Linked DNA regions of Coturnix japonica. The protein of the gene in region 1 purifies or fractionates together with the protein of each later gene. This does not show direct contact. Links are inferred from orthologs where the notes say so. Each region holds a gene or a part of one and is shown in the gene's direction. Other genes may lie near its edges.

The links.
Region 2: the proteins of COPB2 (region 1) and COPE purify together in Homo sapiens (affinity purification with mass spectrometry; 4 studies listed by BioGRID and IntAct, with this or other methods). This does not show direct contact. The link is inferred for Coturnix japonica from reciprocal best matches to the Homo sapiens genes COPB2 and COPE.
Region 3: the proteins of COPB2 (region 1) and COPG1 purify together in Homo sapiens (co-immunoprecipitation; 8 studies listed by BioGRID and IntAct, counting the BioPlex papers as one, with this or other methods). This does not show direct contact. The link is inferred for Coturnix japonica from reciprocal best matches to the Homo sapiens genes COPB2 and COPG1.
Region 4: the proteins of COPB2 (region 1) and ARCN1 fractionate together in Homo sapiens (co-fractionation; 5 studies listed by BioGRID and IntAct, with this or other methods). This does not show direct contact. The link is inferred for Coturnix japonica from reciprocal best matches to the Homo sapiens genes COPB2 and ARCN1.

What each region holds. Positions count from the first base shown.
Region 1 is NC_029524.1:4,611,291-4,616,394, reverse strand, and holds part of COPB2 (coatomer subunit beta'), read left to right. Parts: intron 1-58; coding exon 59-258; intron 259-835; coding exon 836-946; intron 947-1,208; coding exon 1,209-1,297; intron 1,298-1,383; coding exon 1,384-1,490; intron 1,491-1,786; coding exon 1,787-1,930; intron 1,931-2,397; coding exon 2,398-2,528; intron 2,529-2,790; coding exon 2,791-2,998; intron 2,999-3,256; coding exon 3,257-3,367; intron 3,368-4,068; coding exon 4,069-4,283; intron 4,284-4,545; coding exon 4,546-4,638; intron 4,639-4,716; coding exon 4,717-4,897; intron 4,898-5,001; coding exon 5,002-5,070; intron 5,071-5,104. UniProt on the Homo sapiens protein: The coatomer is a cytosolic protein complex that binds to dilysine motifs and reversibly associates with Golgi non-clathrin-coated vesicles, which further mediate biosynthetic protein transport from the ER, via the Golgi up to the trans Golgi network.
Region 2 is NC_029543.1:2,773,277-2,778,834, forward strand, and holds the start of COPE (coatomer subunit epsilon), read left to right. Parts: upstream 1-2,313; 5' UTR 2,314-2,353; coding exon 2,354-2,479; intron 2,480-2,582; coding exon 2,583-2,645; intron 2,646-3,459; coding exon 3,460-3,560; intron 3,561-3,725; coding exon 3,726-3,878; intron 3,879-4,317; coding exon 4,318-4,371; intron 4,372-4,663; coding exon 4,664-4,745; intron 4,746-5,475; coding exon 5,476-5,558. Other genes in the region: probable ATP-dependent RNA helicase DDX49, read right to left, coding at 1-18, 340-480, 622-809, 905-1,026, 1,674-1,759, 1,828-1,951, 2,043-2,157. UniProt on the Homo sapiens protein: The coatomer is a cytosolic protein complex that binds to dilysine motifs and reversibly associates with Golgi non-clathrin-coated vesicles, which further mediate biosynthetic protein transport from the ER, via the Golgi up to the trans Golgi network.
Region 3 is NC_029527.1:6,763,374-6,769,028, forward strand, and holds the start of COPG1 (coatomer subunit gamma-1), read left to right. Parts: upstream 1-1,826; 5' UTR 1,827-1,936; coding exon 1,937-1,973; intron 1,974-3,389; coding exon 3,390-3,442; intron 3,443-4,245; coding exon 4,246-4,326; intron 4,327-5,076; coding exon 5,077-5,148; intron 5,149-5,655. UniProt on the Homo sapiens protein: The coatomer is a cytosolic protein complex that binds to dilysine motifs and reversibly associates with Golgi non-clathrin-coated vesicles, which further mediate biosynthetic protein transport from the ER, via the Golgi up to the trans Golgi network.
Region 4 is NC_029539.1:4,766,731-4,772,436, reverse strand, and holds the start of ARCN1 (coatomer subunit delta), read left to right. Parts: upstream 1-1,789; 5' UTR 1,790-1,957; coding exon 1,958-1,960; intron 1,961-1,976; exon of another isoform or gene 1,977-1,991; coding exon of another isoform or gene 1,992-1,994; intron 1,995-3,194; coding exon 3,195-3,458; intron 3,459-4,031; coding exon 4,032-4,211; intron 4,212-4,429; coding exon 4,430-4,635; intron 4,636-5,056; coding exon 5,057-5,218; intron 5,219-5,387; coding exon 5,388-5,553; intron 5,554-5,706. Other genes in the region: IFT46 (intraflagellar transport protein 46 homolog), read right to left, coding at 349-442, 556-630, 824-963, 1,380-1,682. UniProt on the Homo sapiens protein: Component of the coatomer, a cytosolic protein complex that binds to dilysine motifs and reversibly associates with Golgi non-clathrin-coated vesicles, which further mediate biosynthetic protein transport from the ER, via the Golgi up to the trans Golgi network.

The sequences.
Region 1 (5,104 bases):
AAAGAAAATCAAAACTGTGTTTTCTCTGTCTGCTAAGTTCTTATGCTATGCTTCCTAGCTTGGCCGTGAAGAACCAGCCATGTCCATGGATGCAAATGGAAAAATTATCTGGGCCAAACATTCAGAAGTCCAGCAGGCCAACTTGAAAGCTATGGGAGATGCTGAAATTAAAGATGGAGAAAGATTGCCACTGGCTGTGAAGGATATGGGGAGCTGTGAAATATATCCTCAAACAATTCAGCACAACCCTAATGGACGGTAATTGATTGTAGAAAAAAAATCAGTTTCGTTTTGTTTGGTTGGTTTTCTTTATACTGGAGAATGTATTGCATGTGTCCTGGTAGTGAGAGCCTGTGGCTAACAGGTGTCTCACAGCTAAGCAGGGGAAAATCATAGTAGAAGGGCTTCAGCCATCTGCATAATAGCTCACATTTTAAACTGACAAGTTGCACATTGTAAACAGGGAAAGAATCATGCAAACAAAATGTAAAATGTAGTAGTAGCAAACCAAGTTCTTCTATTACATCTCAGGTGTTTGGTTTTTTTTTAATTAGATGAGCTAATTTGGAAGAAAAGGTAAAGGGATACACAGTAGAAATGAAGCAGAGCGGAGAGCAGAAGCAAGAAGGGATAGCAAGTAGCTAGGAAAGCGAAGCAGAAACAATCCATTATGTGATGGGTTCTGGAATACACAAAGTTGTTCTATTTAATTCTGTTTATGTTTGTGGTAATTATACCATGACACAGGCTTGTGATGATCTTCATATGATTTGTGTGTTTGTTCTAGTGCACTGAACGTGGATGTCTGACAGACTGCATCTTTCTCTTGCTCTAGGTTTGTTGTAGTGTGTGGTGATGGCGAATATATCATTTACACAGCTATGGCTTTGAGGAACAAGAGTTTTGGTTCTGCACAGGAGTTCGTGTGGGCACATGATTCGTCAGAGTAAGTGTTGCAGATTTTCCTTTGTATTAACTAACTTTGCTGCTACATTTCAGTCTGTACAAACATGGAGTTGGGCTGAAGACAAAAAACAAGAAAAAAGGTTTGAATAATGAACTTAGAGAAGGTGATGTTTTAAGGTTTTCTATTTGCTGTGCTCTGCTGATTTTTGAAGACAAATGCAAGGATTTTCTTGTAGCAGTTTGTTATTTTAGTAGTTTGCTACTTTAACAGGCAAGTAATATTTCTATAATGCAATCTCCAGGTACGCAATCAGAGAGAGCAACAGCGTTGTGAAGATATTTAAAAACTTCAAGGAGAAGAAATCGTTCAAACCTGATTTTGGAGCGGAAGGTGAGTATTTACTTTTAGCATACACATATTGATGCATGTGCACAGTCTGCACGATGCAGAATTCTTCAACTTTCATTTTCTTACAGGCATCTACGGTGGCTTCCTGTTGGGAGTGAGATCTGTAAATGGTTTGGCATTCTATGATTGGGAAAACACGGAACTGATCCGCAGAATTGAAATTCAGCCCAAACATGTAAGTTTTGAAAGGAATCTGAAGATATGAATCTATGTGCATCTGCGTTTACTCTAGACTGTAGATGCTAGACTGTTGAATATTTTTTCTATAACGAAACCAAGCTGCCAATCATAAAATAACAATATCTTAAGTTTACTTCTGCCTGGTAGTGAAAAGGAAGAAAATCTTATGCATGCATTGGCTTCTTGGCTCCTAAGGCTGCTATGAGAGTTTGTACAAATTAAACTAAAACATACTTTCTCTCTTAACCTGAGCTCTCTAAACCACTGCCATTATTGATTCTGATGACACAGATTTTCTGGTCTGACTCGGGTGAGCTTGTCTGCATTGCTACAGAAGAGTCATTCTTCATCCTGAAATATCTATCAGAAAAAGTTGCATCTGCCCAGGAAACGCATGAAGGAGTCACTGAAGATGGAATTGAAGATGCATTTGAGGTACCTGTATTTAAAAACGGATGTGACAAGGATCAGAGGTCACTGAAGCGAGTCTTGCCAGAGAATAGCAAAATTAGTCCTTAACATAACACAACTAAATTGTATTTTCCAGCCATCTTGCATTTGGGTAGCATGTTCACAGAAACTGGATGCTTTCTGCACTTTTTGTATGTTGAAATCTGACAGAAGTTTGAGACCACGTGAAAAACAGCAGAAATCTCATGAGGAAACTTCTAATTATCTTATTTAACACATTTGGTACTTCCTTCCTGGATTTGTAACTTAGTTAATTATTGAGAGAGATTTGTAACATCTTTTTGTAGAACTGGAGGCATAGTTTGCACAACTTCTGGTTTGTACCTGGAACTTCTTTTGCAACTCACCCTTGTGCCTGTTGCATTTAATTTGAAAACACAGTAGTCTCACTGCTATCTAAAAGTAGCTTTTTGGTTAAATTTAATTTGCAGGTTCTTGGTGAGATTCAGGAGATTGTGAAAACAGGTTTGTGGGTTGGCGACTGCTTTATTTACACAAGCTCTGTGAACAGACTCAACTACTACGTTGGAGGAGAAATTGTCACGATTGCCCATTTAGACAGGTACGTTGCTGCATTAGATTGTAAGGAAGTCTTGACTGTTTTTTCAGTTAGGACAAAGTAAATCTCCCGCTTGCCCTGATGAATTACTTTTGGATTATAATGCTCATGTTCTGAGGCAATTAATGTAATCTTGCATAGAATAAATAACGTTACATGGGTACAGAGTAAAAGTTGATGCAAATATTCCTGCTATCATTGGATTTTTTTATGTAGCACCTCACAGTCGACATATCCAAGCTGAATAGTCTTTGTCTTGTTTTAGGACGATGTATCTTTTGGGGTATATTCCTAAGGACAACCGACTTTATTTGGGTGATAAAGAGCTAAACATTGTTAGCTACTCTTTGCTGGTCTCAGTGCTTGAATATCAAACTGCTGTGATGAGAAGAGACTTCGGTATGGCTGACAAAGTTCTCCCCACGATTCCAAAAGAACAGAGAACCAGAGTTGCGCATTTTCTTGAAAAACAGGCAAGAGAAACCTTTCTTAAACATCCAAAAAGTCACCAGCTGATTATTTCTAATTGAATTTGCTAAGTAAAAAAAAAAAAACAAAAAAACTAAGCAACTAAAAAAGCCACTAACTTAATGTATATATAGATTCATGTTAATCATCTGTATTTATTTGGAATGCTGTAATCTTTTCTTTAGAGGGTTTTGTTAAAACATCTGGGATGCTGTTTGGTGTGACCGATCAGAGCTTTACTTTTGATTATTCATTTATTTCAGGGCTTCAAACAGCAAGCTCTTGCAGTATCGACAGATCCAGAGCATCGTTTTGAACTTGCTCTTCAGCTGGGAGAACTAAAAATTGCTTATCAGCTTGCAGTAGAAGCAGAGGTAAACATACAACTTCTGGTGATTCATGATAATTCTGAGTATAAATCGTAGAGGCCTCATAAGACGAGGCAGTGTGACAGTGCAGCACAGCTCTGTGAACACTGTAAATATGCCTCCAACTTCCTTACTGAAGTTTCTCTGCCTGTCGTTCAAAGGAATCTTTGCTGTGGGATGAGAACAGAAGCATGTTGTCTGCTCAGAAAGATATAGGAACTCCTCCTGGAGAGTAATACATTCCAACCAGGAACAAAGCCTTAATCTTCAGTGTTGAACAGAGAGGAGAACTGGCAGAACTGAAGCCTCTGGGCCTTTATTCCAGCCTTGAAAAACTTGCATCATTTCTGATGTTCTAGGAAGACTGGCAGGCAGTGATTTGGCCCATAGCTATTATTCAGAGAATTGGTCTCACTGTTCATTTTGCAAAATAATGGAGCAGTAGGGAGTAAGTTAATGTGTTGTCATTAAACAGGGAGAGGGGAAAGTAGGCAGGTGTTGCTGGGTAATGACAGTGTGACAGTGGTATGCACAGAACAAACTGCAATCGTTATCGTATCTTAATGGGAAGACAAGCATGCTGATGGGATACGGTAACTTAGCAGGTGAACTTAGAATTCATATTGAATGCTTTAAAAATCTTTAATGGTATTCAAAAATATAGCTTTGGTTTTTTTTCTTTTTCCTCCCTCTCCTTGTGCTTTTAGTCAGAACAGAAATGGAAGCAACTTGCTGAACTTGCCATTAGTAAATGCCAGTTTGGCCTAGCCCAGGAATGCCTGCACCATGCACAAGACTATGGAGGGCTGCTGCTACTGGCTACAGCCTCAGGAAACGCCAACATGGTGAATAAATTAGCTGAAGGAGCAGAGAAAGATGGCAAGAACAACGTCGCATTTATGAGTTACTTCCTGCAGGGAAAGTAAGTAGTGAGAAATTCAGATGGTTCTCATTGGGCTTTCTAAACACAAAGAATGTCACATTTCCAAACAGTGAACTGCAGGTAACTTAATTTCAAGAAGAAAGACAGTAGTAGCATGTACCCTTTCAGAAAAAACTGCTTTATGATGCCTACTCTTTAAAACGGGCACTTTTAATTTACTGACATCATAGACTAAACAGCTATAATGCTAAAGTCTGGCTTGAAAAATTACTGATAAAAATTCTATTTTAAAATCTGTCAGGCTTGACTCATGTTTGGAACTCCTGATTAAAACTGGACGTCTCCCAGAAGCTGCATTTCTTGCACGGACCTATTTGCCAAGCCAAGTTTCAAGGTAACATCAATGTATATGCAGATCCTAGTAGTATTGTCAAAACTACCTGCATACAATGAATCTGATTTTTATCTCCAGGGTTGTTAAACTGTGGCGGGAGAGTCTCTCTAAAGTGAACCAGAAAGCTGCTGAATCCCTCGCTGATCCTACAGAATATGAGAATCTTTTCCCTGGGTTAAAGGAAGCTTTTGTTGCTGAAGAATACGTTAAACAAAGTCTTGCTGACCTGCGGGCAGCCAGGGAATACCCCCTTGTCACTGTGAGTAGGAAGTGGGAGTTCCAAGTTGTGCAAGTTGAGCTGTAAGCAAGTCGATGAAGTGACATAAACAGTCAATCAACATGTCTGCACTTTTTACTTTTTAGCCAAATGAAGAAAGAAACTTACTTGAAGAAGCAAAAGGCTTTGAGCCATCAGGAGTAATGGCATCTCAGGTCAGTGTTACCACTAAATGATGAAGCCTAAGAA
Region 2 (5,558 bases), on another chromosome or scaffold:
TTCAAGATTTGACATTCCCTTAAAAGGAAAAAGAAAAAATACAATGAAAAAATCAAAATACATCAGGCAAACAGAAAGCTCCTCCCCACCATTTTCCAGCACCCATCAGCAAAAGGAAAGATGGCTGCAGGGAAGTAAAAGCAGCTTGACCTTTTAGCATATTACATTTCTGAGTGGCCCTTCAGTCCCAAGTTGCTCAAAAAAGGTGCTCTTGTACCAAATCACAGCACAGATTGAGGAAGCAAACACCAGGGTAGCTTAAAAGCAGCACAGCGCGAATTTGGGAGTCACAAAAGCACCTCTAGAGCAAAAGCCATCACTAGGAAAAATTCCACTTACTTGCAGGTTTTGGTGAAGATAATAATAGACCAGTCTTCGTGCTCATCCTGGAAGGTCTGGATTAGATGGACAAGGTATGCATCCTTGACTGCTTCGGGTACAAGCAAGTAACGCTGGTCCAGTTCATCTACTGTCCGCACCCTGTTGGGAAGGGACAGTAAATCACTAAAATCCACAGCTTTAGCAAGAGAAAGTGGAACATAAGGGATGTTAGAGACAGTAAGGAGATGAGATAATAGAGAAAAAGCAGGATGCTGCGTGTGGCAGAGCAGAGATACATACTCAGATGCAGCCTCCCAGAAGAAAGGTTTGTTCATGGCCAGGCTCTTCAGCTCATTCAGTGTATCTGTCAGCGTGGCACTGAACAACAGCGTCTGCCTGCGTGCGGGAACAGCCTCCAGAATCACCTCCAGGTCTGCAGTGAAGTCAGCACAGCCCTGCTCCAACAGCCGGTCAGCTTCATCCAATATCTAGCCACAAATAAATGAGATCTGCAAGTGTCCTTACAAAACCAAAAGCCTTAAAAAGCAGAGGGAAAAGTATTTGAAAAGAGCGGAAAACCTACCAAGAATTTGAGCTTTTTAAGGCTGAAAGTGTTGGAACTGCGAAGATGATCCGCCAACCTGCCAGGCGTCGCAATGACAACGTGGGGTTTGCGGGAGAGCTCCAGGGCTTGAACCACCATGTCTGCAGCGAGAAACACGCTGCTGTGTTACAGATTGAACCTCGTAAACATGGAATGTGCGTGGCTGGAAAACACCAGCCTTACAGAGGAAGGTCATGGAGACATGAAGAGTCATTCTGCTCCCCCCCCAGCCACAGAATCACAGAATTGTAGGGGTTGGAAGGGACCTCTAGAGATCATCGAGTCCAACCCCCCTGCCAAAGCAGGTTCCCTACACCATATCACACAGGAAGGCATCCAGGCAGGTCTATCTCCAGAGAAGGAGACTCCACCACCTCCCCGTGCAGCCTGTTCCAGTGCTCCGTCACCCTCACTGTAAAGAAGTTCTTCCGCACATTCATGCACAACTTCCTATGCTGTACTTTCATCCCATTAACCCTAGTCCTGTCCCCACACACTACTGAAAAGAGACCAGCCTCACCACTATGGCTCCCACACCTCAGGTATTTATAAACCTGGATCAAGTCCCCTCTCAGCCTTCTTTTCTCAAGGCTAAACAGACCCAGTTCCCTAAGTCTCTCCTCACAGGGGAGATGCTCCTTCACCATCTTTGTATCCCTCTGCTGGACTCTTTCCCAGAGATCCCTTTCTTTTGTTGTACTGAGGAGCCCAGAACCGGACACATCCCACTCTGTGTTGTCTCACTCACCCAGGCCGCCCACCACCACGCAATCCTTCAATCCCAGCGGTTTCCCCAGCACACGGAACTGCTCAGCGATCTGGTAGGCCAGCTCCCTGCGGGGTAGGGCAGCGCTAAGCGGGGATACACCATCAGGGGACCCCCCCTATGGGTTCCTCCGTACCTGGTGGGCGTCAGAACGAGGCAGAAGATGCCGTAGGGATCCTCGGACAACACCTGCAGCACCGGCAGCACGAAGGCCGCTGTCTTCCCGCTACCCGTCTTAGCGCAGCCGAGGCAGTCGCGGCCTACACGGGAGACCCCCCCCAAAGTAAAGAACGTGAGCGATGGCGGATAATAGAGAACTGCAAGGAAGGGAGAACAAGAGACCAGGCTCACCCTGCAGTATGGGCGGGATACAGGCGGCCTGCACGGCCGTCGGGCGGCTCAGCCCCATCTGCCGCGCCTGCTCCACCAGCCACGGGGCCAAACCCAGCTCCCGGAACGCCGCCATCTTGCTCCTTCCTTAACACCACTGACTTCCGGCCTCCTTCGCGTTCTCATTGGCTGCCTCCCGCTTCCGTCGCCGTAGTGACGTAACATGTTTCTCGCGTGGCTATTGGCTGGAGCTGACATCTTCATGGACATGGCGGCTCCCGGCAGCCCTCGGGGTTCAGCTACTTCCGGAGAGACGTGTCCGGAGCGGCAAAATGGCGGCCGGGCCGGGGTCGGGTCCAGCTGGTCAGAGCGGGGAGGGGGACGAGCTGTTCGACGTGAAGAACAGCTTCTACATCGGGGCCTACCAGGCCGCCATCAACGAGGCACAGCGGATCAAGGTGGGGGTATCGAACGGGGTTAAACCCATGTTGGGTTTAGGAGGTTCCTGGGTTTAGTGCCCAGGTTCCTTAATGGAGCTGTTGTTTCTTCTTCTCCTTCCAGCCATCGAACCCCGAGAAGGAAACAGAGAGGGATGTGTTCTTGTTCAGGTCCTACATTGCACAGGTGGGTCGGATTTACAGCAGCACGATGTGACTGTAGGGCTCAGGTAGGGCAGGGTATGAACCTGAGCTCAATGCGACACAACCGAGTAATAAACACAACTGAGTAATAAATACTAGAGAAGCAGGAAACAGGTGCTGGAATTAAGAATAAAGGGAGGTTAAAAGGTGGTAGTTAAAGGTAGTTTGTAGAAAGAAGCAAAGGAAACTTAAAGAGTTTATGGAAACAAGGAAAGGAAACTTAAAGGTGGTTTATAGAAACAAGGAAAGGAAACTTAAAGGTGGTTTGTAGAAATGAATAAAGGGGACTTAAAGGTGGTTTGTAGAAGTAAGAAAAGGAAACTTAAAGGTGGCTTATAGAAAGAAGTAAAGGAAACTTAAAGGTAGTTTATAGAAATAAAGGAAACTTAAAGGTAACAAGTAAAGGAAACAAGGGGCCTGGGAGAGCAGGGAGGATGCAGGTAAGGAGTGAGACCTCATGGACGACATCAGGCAAGGAGGAGAACAGGTAATGTAAATACCAGAAGAGGAGTTGCATCCCCCTGATAAGAACAAGAGGGAGTCTGTGTGCTAAAGAACTATTGAATATAGATCAGAATTCTGAACTATTGACTATGTATTAGAATTCTGAGAAATCATTGACTATGTATTAGATGTACCTATATCTGTGTCATGATTTTACAAGTCGGGGTGCAAGTTTGGTGGAGCTATCCCCCTTGCACCCAGTGCTGGAATAAACGTCCCTGCTTTATAACCCATCTCTGGATTATAGAGTTTGATTCTGCAAGTCACTAGGTTTTCTGCTTTACCTTTAACAGAGAAAGTATGGGGTTGTGCTGGATGAAATTAAAGCCAATGCCAGTCCTGAGCTCCAGGCTGTGCGGATGTTTGCAGAATATCTTTCAAATGAGAGTCAAAGGTAAGTCTGAAAATGAGTTTGTTTCACAAAGAACGAGTTTCTAAGTGAAGAGTTCATAGAAATATGGTTTTTATAATGTCTGGCTTTGGTTTTGCCACAAAAAAGTAGGTTTTCTGATAGCGAGGCATTTTAAACACTTCTATTCCCTCACCCACACTGTTGCAGGGATGCAATTGTTGCTGATTTGGACAAAAAAATGGCAAAAAGTGTCGATGTGACCAATACCACTTTCTTGCTGATGGCTGCTTCAATCTATTTCCATGACAAAAATCCTGATGCAGCTCTACGTACTCTACATCAAGGGGAAAGTTTGGAATGGTAAGTATAACTCGATCTGGCCTCTCTGCGGTGTGTGTTAGCAAAGTCTCGCTCATGTAGGGAGAGGTGTAATAGAAATGCCCAGGATCTGGCTTGTCTCTGAAAAGCCTTGAAACCATTGAGAAACTCTTGAGAGGTTTCCCTTTCAAGTAGTGATGGATGTGGTGCTCAGTCTGCAGTATAAAATCTATTGCTCCCTTGTGAAACTTAAGAATCTGATTTATTGATCTGTGTGGATTCAGAATTGCTGAAGTGAGTACTATGGCTGTACACCAGGAGGGCAGCTGGGAGCTTCCCTGCTTTGAGTCCTGCTGTGAGCTCTGCTGGCTTTGTTGGCTGCCTGTATAGATAGCCCTGGCATGAGTAGTGTATCTGTGCTAAGCACAAGGAGTGATAAAACTCGTCATTATTACAATTGATTTGCTTTTATTCATTGCAGCACGGCGATGATGATCCAGATTCTTCTGAAGCTTGACAGGCTTGATCTGGCTCGGTGAGTAAGCTTGTCTGTGTCACTTTATTTCTGAATAGTGAGCATAAAGGGGTTTGAATCTCTAGGCCTGGATTTCTTCCTTTCCTTACAGAAGTAAAACAAGGAGCTCTTCCACAGCTTGTCTCAGTGAAACATTAGGAGGTAATTATGCCTCCTTACTAGTTTGCTATGGTTGTTTTTCTGTTGAGGTGAAAGAGCTTGAGAAAGGAAACTTCAACCTTCTGTCTGCATCTTAGAGGACTAAGACAGGCCTTGTTTTCCTTTTACACAACTCCCACTTTTGCATCCACAGCAAGGAACTGAAGAAGATGCAGGAGCAAGATGAAGATGCGACCCTCACTCAGCTGGCTACTGCCTGGGTGAACCTGGCTGTAGTGAGTATCCCTGGCCTACGATATCTGAGAAACAGCATTCAGACAAGACTCTGTGCTTAGTTTGTGATGGCCTTTTACCAAGTTACCACCATCTCATTAAACTTGTTCTTTTGGTGCCTGCAACTGGTTGGCAAGAAATTGTATTGTAATGAAGAGTTTCAGATCAGCCAAAAACACGTGTTGTCTGTTAAGTCCAGATGTCAGGTGTTTGAAACCAGTCTCCTAAGATTCAGTAAACTCCAAGGTATGCGTGCAGTAACCTGTTACAACAGTAACAGTAACCTGGGGCTGAGTTTTCCTTAAGATCTTATTTTCCTCTAGGGAAACATTCATCCTCTAATCAGTGCAAGCTGCTGCATCTGAAACCTTTCTAAAGCAGGAATGTTTTGAAAAGCCAGGTGTCTGTACCTGGGTTTAATTGTAAGATCTCATTTCATAGTCTTTTATTACGTTGTAATGTTCTTCCAAACATTAAGTCGGTGTTCTGAAGTGGTTCTTTTGAAATGTTTCTTGATCTTTTGATCATTTAAGTGCTTCTTAATATTTAATATTTTTGCATTCCTTTCATCTGTAGTCTTACAGTGATCTCTCAGAGGAGACTCTGTGAATGACAATAGCTCATTTTATAACCCTTCAAATTAACTTCTTGGCCCCTTTCTTTAGCCACAAAAACAGAATACAGCCTTCTTAGCAATACACAGTGAAACTGCATGCTTGTGTCCTTTTGCAGGGTGGTGAGAAGTTACAGGACGCCTATTACATCTTCCAAGAGATGGCAGACAAATGCTCCTCCACCCTCCTCCTGCTTAATGG
Region 3 (5,655 bases), on another chromosome or scaffold:
TGTTGTGAATGGGACAGGGGGCACCAGGTGGGGGGGTGATGCTGAGTGCTGTGCTCTTTTCTTGCAGGCTGTGCTGCTGCCCTTCCTGCTGCTGCCATGGAGCATGGTGCAGGGGCTGAACCTCCAGCACGGCCCTGCTCTACCCGGTGCCCCCTGGCATGAAGGTGGCTGGGACAATGAGGGCAGTAGCGGGGTCATGCTGGGGCTCCCTGGGGCAAGACGTGGACACGGCTCTAGGGATGGCTCTCAGTTGGATGGAACCACGCAGCTGCTGCTGGAGGACTCAGTGAGAGAAGCATGGCCCTGGCTGCCAAACCCTGACACCAACAGAGCTGCTGCGGTAAAGAGCAGCAAGGCAAGAAAGGTGTCCCTGTCCCTTGATGTCCCCACACACATCCTGAGGATCCTGCTGGACTTGGCCCGGGAGAAGGAGCTGCAAGCCAGGGCAGCTGCCAACGCTGAGCTGATGGCACGAATTGGGTGAAGGAAGTGACCACAACACAGCCATGGCCAAAGGACTCTGTGGGGCCAAGGGGGGATACGTAGGGCTGCTGGCAGCTGCTCCCTGCACCCAGCTGTGCAGGATTTAGCCCCGGACAAACTGATGCTTGGGGTGTGCTGTATAAACGGTGCACACACAGCAGCTGCTGTTCTAACAACCCAATTTGCACTGTGGGAGCAAAGCACCGGGCCGAGACAGCCCCGCTGACACCGTGCCTGGCACAGCGGGGTCAGTGTGTGCACGTCCTTGTCCTCAGTGCACCTCTGCTGATGTACCCCCATCCACTCCTTCCGACCCCCGTTTTTCCATGTACCCTCTGTCCAGATGCTCTGTACACCATAAAGCCCACCCAGACCTATGGGCATTGTACCTGTGCAGTGTGCTCTGCCACTCAGCGCCGCCCCGGGGTTGCCACGCACCCCAAGATAAGCACCGAGCGGGCAGCGTGCGGCCGCCCCGTGCAAAGGGCAGGGCCGGGGCTGGGGCTGCTGCTGGGGCTGCCGGAGCCGGGCTGGATGCAGCCATGCTCTTCGAGGAGCTGCTGGTGCAGGGTGAGCATGCACAGCGTTGGAGGGGGGAGGTGTGGGGGTGCCCCTCTTTGGGGGTGGTATTTCGGGGTGGGGGATGGAGCAGGGGTTGGGGGATGGAGCAGGGGGTGCAGAGCAGCTGCTGCCGTTCTGGGGTGAGTGTGGGGTGAAGGTGCCAGCCCCGCCATGGTGATGCTGGGGGACAGCAGGGTGACAACCAGATATCGATGGGGGTTTGGTCCCATTCCCATCACTGTTCAGTCCCTGTCGCTGCCGGCTGCCACGTTGTCCCCTGCTGATCCCGGCTGTGACCCCCGCAGCCCCTCTCAGCACTCCCAGGTGCCACCAGCCCCTCCGCACCCCCCGGTCCCGCTGTCTCCCCCCGGTCCTTCAGTCCCGTGGTCCCGGTGTCTCCATCCCGGTGACCCCAGCCCGCTGACACCCCCATCCCCACGCTGCCCCCTCAGACCCCGCTGTACCCCCATCCCGCTGTACCCCCATCCCGCTGTACCCCCATCCCGCTGTACCCCCATCCCTCTGCCCACACCCCTCACTCTTCACCCATCGCCCACCCCGGAGCCCCCCGAGCCCCGCCCCCTTCCTTCCCTCCACCAATCAGACCTCGCCCTTCTCCCCCCCACCTGTCAATCACACCCATATCCATGGACACCGCTCATCGCCCCGCCCCCCTTCCCGGAGCTCCGCCCCCTCCCGCTACCGGCAGTGACGTCACGGAGCGTCAACCCGCGCCTGCGCAGTGCGGCGGCGGCAGTGACAGGCTGGCAGGAAGGGGCGGGGGTCGGCAGCGGGACGGGTTCGGTTCGGCTCAGTTCGGTTCGGCTCAGTTCGGCTCGGTTCGGCTCGGTTCGGCTCGGCTTAACTCACCGAGGGGCCTCTCGCAGCCGCCATGCTGAAGAAATTCGACAAGAAGGACGAGGAGTCGGGTGAGGGGCAGCGGGAGGCCGGGGGTGGGCCTGTGTGAGGTGTGAGGTGCAGACATGGTGCTGTCGTTGATGGGCAGCTGAGGGCTCGTAGGATGCTGCTGGGAAGGCTTTGTGTCAACCATTTGGCTTAAAAGCATTAGTAACTACAACTAAAGTAACAGAGGGGAGGTTTAGAGCAGGTATCGGGGATTGCTTTCAATGAGACACATTGACACAGCTGCCTGGAGAGCTCAGGGTCAGGCTGGATGGGACCCTGGGCAGCCTCAGCTGGTGCCTCACTCAGTAGTTGCCAACCCAACCTGGGTCATGGGGTTGGAACTAAATGATCTCTGATGTCCCTTCCAACCCAAGCCATACCGTGATGTTGGGGCTGTAGATGTGCTGTGCTTCTTTAACCACTTTCTGCGAGCATTTTTCAGATGTTTAGACTGGAAACACTTTGATTTTTTTTTTTTCCCCGTGTTTTCTTCTCTTCCCAGTGTCACCAAAGCATCCGCGCTTTGCTCAGCCCCCTGCTGGATTTGCAAACAGCCTGTGTAAGAGGAGGGCAATGAACCTGAAATGAGTTAGGATGCACATGGCTTTGCCTTGTATTGCAGAGGCTCTGGGCAGCAGCATGCAGTGCTTCTGGGGCAGGGCAGGTTGTGCTGAACCAATCCTAGATCTCAGGCTTGTTAAGTGTTGGAGAAGCACTGGAAAAGGCTGTTTGTCCCAGAGCCAAGGCTGAACGTCGGTACTAATTACAGCCTGCTTATCAATAACCGACAGCTTTTGAGATGCTGTGGCTCAGAGATGCTTAAAAGAAGGCAAGCTAATAGAGAGAATGCAGAATAATGATGCTTTTCTCTCAGATTATTTCATCCTTAATTAGTGAGTTGTTCATTGTTTAATATAATTTATTCTATTAAGAGGAACAATGAATGTTATTCTGTGTCCAGACTCTCTCATTTGCTGTCTTGTTCTCTTAATTAGTGATAGAGCCAAAGAATATTTACTGCTGGATTCCTGATTGGTTTATAATGAAGGGATAAAGCACTCCTGACTCTCCAGCCTGGCAAACACTCTCTTTGTGTCTATGACTCTAAGCTTTTGTTCCTCGAACTGTCTTATGATGCTCTAACTGTCAGCAACATCTCAGCCCTGGGGCTGGAAGCGTTACCTCGGGGCTCCCCACTTTGCAATTGATCAGACTCATGGCAAGTTACTTCTTGGTGGGTGATAAATCAAAGGACGTCCTGCCTGCTCTGTCTTCCCTCACTGCTGGGGAATACTGCTTCAAAAGAGGAGCACTGATTGTGTGGTGTTCACGAAAAAGCTACGCAATAAATGCTGGGCTTACCTTTAAACTGTAGGTGTGTTTTGATAGTTGCTTTCCCATAGCAGAATCCCTGGACTTTCTTTGTCTTTATTTTGCAGGTGGGGGTTCCAACCCATTCCAGCACCTGGAGAAGAGCGCAGTCTTGCAAGAGGTATATCCTTAGAAGCTGTCCTTTGTGCTGCCCCTTCTGCTTGGAGTGTCCCAAACTCCTGAGTAGATCAATGGGGAATTTTAGTGGGGAAGCAGGGCTTTGTTGTGGTCCTACTAGCAACTAAAGTATGGGACAATACTCCCACTAGTTCTTGTTTTATTGCTGGAATGAAGAAGGGAGAGGGCTGAAATGATCTCTGTAACAAAGTAGACTCTAAATGGTAAGCAGTAATATAGAATGTGACTGTCTGGGAAAGCTCACCCTAAAACAGGAAAGTTGGGAAATCAGCTTTGAACACCATAAACTTGTAGATTTCAAAGCCAGAGAGCAGGCTGCGTGTGGTTATTGAGTGGTCTCTGATTTTACTCTGAAATAAAAACCTTTTTGTTTGACATCAGACAAACTTCTCAGTCCCCAGCCCCTGTTATTTTGGTGTTATCTGTTTGTTTGCCATATGGTGGATGGTGTTGGTCCCTGTTAGCCCTGCAGAGCTGGCTGACAACTGTCAGAAGGGTTGTGTTTTAGCTAGCACACGATCCAAACTTGTGTGGGTGAAAGTGTGAGGTGGATTTAACCCTTCAACTTTCGTTGTGCTTGCATTTGCAATCTCAGGATGAGACTATAGAACTGTCTGTTTAAAATGTGGCCTTGTTTAGCTGGAACTGGGGGAAATCTGATCCAAAGTCGTTATGTGGATTTTGCTATACCTCACTGACAATTTGTTGTTTATAATATCAGGCCAGACAGGACAATGTTTATGGGGGGTGTTGATGTCAACATCTTTGTCTGTGATTTGTTTCCAGGCACGTGTGTTTAATGAGACTCCCATAAACCCACGAAAATGTGCTCACATCCTCACCAAGATTCTGTACCTCATAAACCAGGTAAGGGAGAAAAAGTAAGCTGATACGTTCTTTTGATTGTTAGTCTTCTCTAACTAAACTTTATCTTCTGAATAGCTTTGTTGGCTATATCCAATAAAAACATTTTAATTAGAACAGTTTCTGTGCTACTAAGCTTCTACTTGCCTTTTTAGCGTCTAAAAACATTCTGTGGGGTAGAGAGGGTAGGAGCAGCAAATATGGAGAGGTTGGTGTCTGTGATTTCTTATGACTTGGAAGTTGTAACCCTACAGCTCTTTGATGCCAGGAATGGTTGTCAGTCCAGGCCCTTGGGTCTCTGAAGCTGTGCGCAATAAGGACCAGCTTTGTAAAGTTATTTACCTGTCTCGTGGGGTTTCCCTGCTTTGGGATCTCCCTGCATCATTATATGCAACAGCTGTAGCTGGCTCTGACTAGCTGTGGTGCTTTTAGGGAGTATGGCATAAGTTTTTCTTACACAAGCCATGGAGACCCAACCTGCTCTGCACCCATAAAGAAGCTGTCTTGTCACAAGTCATTTATTTGTAAACCTGATAAATCATGCTGTCACCTACACTGACAAGTAAGCAACATTCAGCCATGGCTGGGGGCTTTGTCAGGCAGGATTTTACTCTGAGTATGCTGAAGAAGATCTGCTTCCAACCACGCTATGCCTGTTCTCCTTATGTGTGAGACTGAGCCTTGCACCTGCTGCAGGACCAGATCTGCTTGTAGTAACTGGGGTTTCCTTCCTTCTTTCCAAACTTCTTCTAGGGGGAGCACCTTGGTGTCATGGAAGCTACCGAATCCTTCTTTGCCATGACAAAGCTGTTTCAGTCCAATGATGTAAGTCTGTTAATTGTTTTTTGCTGTATTTATCTAGTGAGACAAGTTGTTAGCAGTGTCTTTTTTAGCCTCAGATGTCATTTTGTGCCTGGAGTTACCGATCTAAGTGGGAAGAGTAGGATGAAAGATTAGAAACAGATCAGCTTTGTTACCTTGCTCCTGTAGCAGTTTAACTAAAGCAGTCTTTGTTCCTGAAACATAGATTCTTCCTCTAAAGTGCTGTCTAACTCTTGAGATGGTGCTAGGCACTGGTCAAGTGTGTAATCAGATATGCTATGCTTTGTGCCCAGTATTAAGAGATTCTGCTTCCTGCTGAGAGTTAGTGATTGGTACCTGGAGGATGCCAGGAATTAGTACCTACCCACAGAGGTATTACCATCACTAGCTGTCCCCCAAACTACAAAGCATTGAAATTGTGAGCTGAACTTAGAGATCCTCAGGCTCTGGGATGCAAATTGCTTTTTTTTTTCTTGCTTTTGAGGCAACGGGTTGCCCTCAGCTCCTGAT
Region 4 (5,706 bases), on another chromosome or scaffold:
TCAGACTCAATTCAGAAGAAATTTGTAAGCGTGATGCTTTGAAAGAGCAGAAAATACGAGTTGTTAACACAGCGGTACCTGAAATGCATAAGGTGTTGGACAAAGAAACAGGCAGCCCTTGCACCAAATTACATATGTGCTATGTGGGATGTTACCAAAGTGACCAGCCAGGTCATAGTGTTGCTATTTGTGATCTCCTAGGTGTCTACAGCAGTATCTGCAGCACAGGGCAAGGGCACCTCGCTACCACCAGGTCAGTGTGGCTGCAGTCTGCCAGGCTCATATCTAAACCACCTTCTGTTTCACCCTGTGTGTCAGCAGGTATGGGGATATCTGAAAACACTGTACCTTTAGGAAGGCATCAATGTCTCCAACAGCAGGAATGAAGTCTGGAATAAAAGGCTGCAGTTTGTGCTCAATCTGTATTGTTTTCGGAGTGTATCTTGAGAGAGAAAAACAACAGGATTGCATAGTGGGCAATTGACATTTCCTGCCAGAGACAAAGACCTTGAGACAAAGGAGAACCCAGGGCAGGCGAAAGCTCCTTCAACTCACCTCCTTATGTATTCAAAGAGTTCTTTAATTTCAGGAGATACCGGCAGGTAGTCATAGTTTGCGAGGTTGTAGTCACTGAAGAGAGGAAAAGCAATTCTTGCAGACATTACTTCCTATCAGTTTTTGTACAAGAACAAAGGCACGAACATGGATCCAGCTGTGCCCCAAAGCAGAAGCAGGACACTCTCACTGTAAGAGGCTTCCTGTCCGTGCACAACTCTGTTCAACCCTTTTAAGCCACGGGTTCCCGGCTCCCTCCGCTGCTCACCCCTCCAGTGAAGCCCCGCGCTCCTCCGAGTCCTCAGAGTCGCTCTCGGAGGAATCCTCATCATCGTCATCATCATCATCATCATCGTCATCATCGTCGTCCTCGCTGGCGGTGGAGGGTCCCAGCCTGGCCACTGTTTCCTTCAGGGCAGGAGGGACGCGGCCTTACTTACTGTACCGTACCGTGCCGTGCCGTACCGTACTGTACTGTATCGTACCGTATCATACCATACCGTGCTGTACCGTACCGTGCCATACTGTACCGTACCGTACCGTATCGTACCGTACTGTACCGAGCCATACCGTACCGTACCGTGCAGTACCGTTCCGTATCATACCGTATTGTACCATACCATGCCATACCGTACCATACCGTACCATACCGCACCATACCGTACCATACCGTACCATACCGTACCATACCGCACCATACCGTACCATACCGTACCATACCGTACCGTACCGTACCATACCGTGCCATACCGTACCGTACCGTACCATACCGTACCATACCATGCCGTACCGTCCCGTGCCGTACCGCCCCTCTCCCCCCGTACCTTGCTGCTGCTGCTGCCTCCTCCTCCCTCCCGGTCGTTGCCGCGCTCTCCCGCCCCGCTGGGCCGCGCTCCCGTGCCGCCTCCTCCCGACCAGATCGGCCCCGGCCGGCGGGATCCCTGCGGCCGGTTCTCGCTCCCCGCCGCCTCCTCGGTGTCCGGCAGCTCCAGGCTCTCGTCGTACGGCTGGTTCTCCACGGGCCGAGGCTGTGCGGAGGGTCGCGGGGAGGCGATGGCGCGGCCCGGCCCGTCCCCGCTCCCCTCGGCCGGCCGCCGCTCCGCCATGACGCCGCCTTCCGTCGCCATGGCGACCCCGTCTCGCTCTCCCTCTCCCGGCTAGAGCGGCGCCCGCGGCCCGGCCCCGCAGCCGCGTGTGGGTGTCGCCCCCTGCCGGCCGGGGCCGGTACTGACGCGGGCCGCCCCCAGGGCCGCGCTCCGGGTCCTCCCGCCCCGCCCCGCCCCTCGCGTCGTGCGCGGCGCCGCTTCCGGCTGGGGACGTGGCTCGGCGCCGCCATCTTGTGGGGCTGCCCGAGGGGACGCGGAGCCGCGAGGGAGCGAGCGCCGAGCCGAGCGCCGCCGCCATGGTAAGGGTGTGCCCGGCCATGAGCCGCCGCCATGGTAAGGCTGTGCCCAGAGCTCAGCCGCCGCTCGTGGGGCCGCTGCCGGCCGGACCGGGGTCGGAGAGCTCGCGGGGCCTGGCCAGGCCGCTCATCGCTCGGCGGCTCCGCTGCCGTTCTCTGGCCTCGTCCCCGAGCACTGTCGGATCGCTCCGCAGCTCCGCGATGGACCCGGGCCGCTCCAGGCCGTGCTGCCCCGCCGGGTGACGCTGCGCTCCGGGCCCGGACGTGGCGCGGCCTGTGGGAGCCTCCAGCTCCGCTTACCGGGCGCTGCCGCAGGGCGGTTGGGGGGCACTGCCCGCTGTGCGCTGCGTGATGTGTAACGTGGAGGCTGCTTGCAGCGTTAAGGCTGACATCTGTAACCAGGCCTCGTCTCTTGCTGCCTCAGCTGCCAGCTCGGGTGGAGGTCACTTGTGTCCCGTTGGCTGTGGGTGACGTGGAGCTGTGAGCTTTCCGTCCCCGAACGGGACCTGCTGCTTGGTGACAGAGGCCGAGGTGCTGCTGAGATCAGCTGTGCCATTCGGTGCTGTGCTGTGCTGTGCTGCACTCACAGCCCTTTCAAAGAGCAGTTGGGAAATGGAGGCTTATGCCTGTTGCTTTCTTCAAGATATCCCTGACTACAGGGTTCCTATGGCCACTCAATGTACAGCAGTTGCTGGCTGCTCACCTGGCCGTGCTGGGGTTCATGCTTGAAATGTACAGACACTGAAGAACTTCTGGTGCTTCTCATTGTTAGGATACTGTGATTAAAACTGGCTGGGGAGTGAAAGGATCTTACCTTTAGAAACTGCTTTATCTTCACTATGTTAATTAAGAAACTAATCTGTGAGAGAAGTATTTCAGGACGAAGTCGAGGCGGAGAGAATGAGAAAGGGTGAATTGGCAGTTACCTTAATGCCTTTCTATTGTTGGTGTGATAACATCAGTGAAATGCCCAGGAGAACCATCCACGTGCTGTAATTAATATAATGGTCAATATTTTATTAACCCGGCTTAGTTTAAGTGTGGCACTGGGAAGAGATGTCACATTTCAAAGTGTTCTGGTCTTTATTGTGACTTTTCTGCTGGGGCTGAACTAACAGATAAGTCAGTTTTTGCCTAAAGCATTGCTGGGGTTTTGTCATAGCCCTATAGGAAAAGGTGTTGCATTAGCCTGAATGGAGGACTGAGAGCTTTCAATGCTGTGTCTGTGTCCCTATAGGTGCTGTTGGCGGCAGCTGTCTGCACCAAGGCAGGGAAGGCCATCGTCTCCCGGCAGTTTGTGGAGATGACCCGAACCCGCATCGAGGGGCTGCTGGCAGCTTTCCCCAAACTGATGAACACTGGGAAGCAACACACCTTTGTGGAAACAGAGAGCGTGAGGTACGTGTATCAGCCGATGGAGAAGCTCTACATGGTGCTGATCACCACGAAAAACAGCAACATCCTGGAAGACCTGGAAACACTCCGACTCTTCTCTAGAGTGGTAAGGATCTACACGTCGGGTCCTGTGTTCACACCTGTAGCCCCAAACAGTGGCAAGCTGGTGCTGAAGCACTCTGCCTCCACCTCATAACTTGGTTATCTATGGCTTGTTCCTGACCTGGAAGTAACCTTTGCTGCTCCTGTGGTAATTTTGAACTACATGTGAGAAATCCATGCTTGCCATTTAACTGGTGAGGCCAAAGAGATGCTGCGAATGTAGTGTCAGATATTTCTATGTTCTTTAGGTAGCAACTGCATTCCTTCAGTCCTGGCTTCACATTGTGATTGAGAAGCATAGCAGTGCTCTAAATGGATTTCTAAGTCATGGGTTTTTGCAGTTGTTTTTTTAATTAACTTCATAATCTATATCTGTGCAGCTGAAGGATCTTCAAGAAACTGAGCAGCATCACAGGGTGTGTTTTGTAGTGAATTACAAAGTTAAAACTGTGCTGAAAGACTCCATAAGTGTTTTAGTTGAAGGAAAAAAATAGTCACAAAACTTCATCTTAAACAGCAGCTCAGTGGGTGCTGATTGTCACATCTACATCTGTTTGCAATGCTTTTCCCTACCTAGATCCCTGAATATTGCCGAGCTCTAGAGGAGAATGAGATCTCTGAGCACTGCTTTGACCTGATTTTTGCCTTTGATGAAATTGTTGCCCTGGGCTACCGTGAGAATGTAAACTTGGCACAAATTCGGACCTTCACAGAGATGGAGTCGCATGAAGAAAAGGTGTTCCGAGCTGTCCGAGAGGTGAGTGGAACTAATTGTGGTGCAAGGTGCTTTGGGAGCACTGCTTCTTTATGCAAAGGTGTTACTCCACTTTGGCAAGGCTTTTAAAGATACTTAGCTTTCCTGTACACTGAATACCCATTCTTTGGCATTTTGTGTTTGTAAGAAGACACCGTGAGCAGCTGTACAGAATAAAACTGAGATTGCAAAGCTTTAGCAGCTTTCATCTTTTATTTCAGACTCAGGAACGTGAAGCAAAAGCTGAGATGCGTCGTAAAGCGAAGGAGTTGCAGCAGGCCAGGAGGGATGCAGAGAGGCTGGGCAAGAAGGCGCCTGGCTTCGGTGGCTTTGGCAGCTCAGCTGTGTCTGGGGGCACAACAGCAGCAATGATCACAGAGACCATCATTGAAACAGAGAAGCCCAAAGTGGCACCAGCACCGTCCAGGTAGGTGTGTGCAGTTGGCAGCAGTTAGTGCTGTCTGAAGGGTTTTGTTTGGCTTCCTCCTGAGTCTTCATGGATAAACAGGTGCTGAAGTACCTGGTGTGTGTGTGTGGGTACATAAGGGAGTGGTCAGGTATGGCTGGCACTGGTGTGGTCTGTTGGTGTTTGTCAGGCTGGTGCTGTGTTTTGGGAATCAAGAGCTTTCTCTCCCCCTGGTCATGCAAGGAGCATTTTGTACTGTAATTATGGATTCTGTGTGTGACTCTGTCTCTACAGGAAGATAGGGAAGGGCAGGCCCCTCCTGTGTGTACTGCTACTGAAGTGAGCTTAATATTGTTGAAGTTACAACACTTGAAGATCAGACTGAGGATGGATGAAACTGCTGTGCTGAACTGACTTGGAGGTGTTTGTGTGTTTTGTTTAGACCATCAGGTCCTAGTAAAGCTTTGAAACTGGGCGCCAAAGGGAAGGAGGTGGACAACTTTGTGGACAAGCTGAAATCGGAGGGAGAAAATATCATGACTTCTGTAGGCAAACGCTCTACAGAAGCAGCCAAAGTTCTTGCACCGCCCATTAATATGGAGAGGTAGGTATTATGTGTTATGCTTCTTCTGAAAGCTGTCTTCTCACTGCTTTGTGATCTGTGTGCTGCTGTATGTATCGTTTTGTTGGGGACCATCATGCTCTTTGGAGCATGTGTTCACTGTGCGTTGACTGTCCTTGTTGACCATTAGTTTCTTCTCTTGCTTATCCAGCGTGCATATGAAAATAGAGGAGAAAATTTCCTTGACTTGTGGCCGTGATGGAGGCTTACAGAATATGGAGCTGCATGGCATGATCATGCTGCACATCTCTGATGAAAAATTTGCACGAATTCGCCTGCATGTAGAAAATGAAGACAAGAGGGGAGTGCAATTACAGGTAACATGACTGGTGTGCCATGCTGTTGTATAGGCAAAATGGCAAATACTTGTGTGTGTTGGTGTGCTGTGATCTTATCCCAGGCTTTTCAGCTAATAAATTGAAAGTGGGAGGAGTCACCACAGCCTGCAGTGTAAATACTGGGCTAGATCC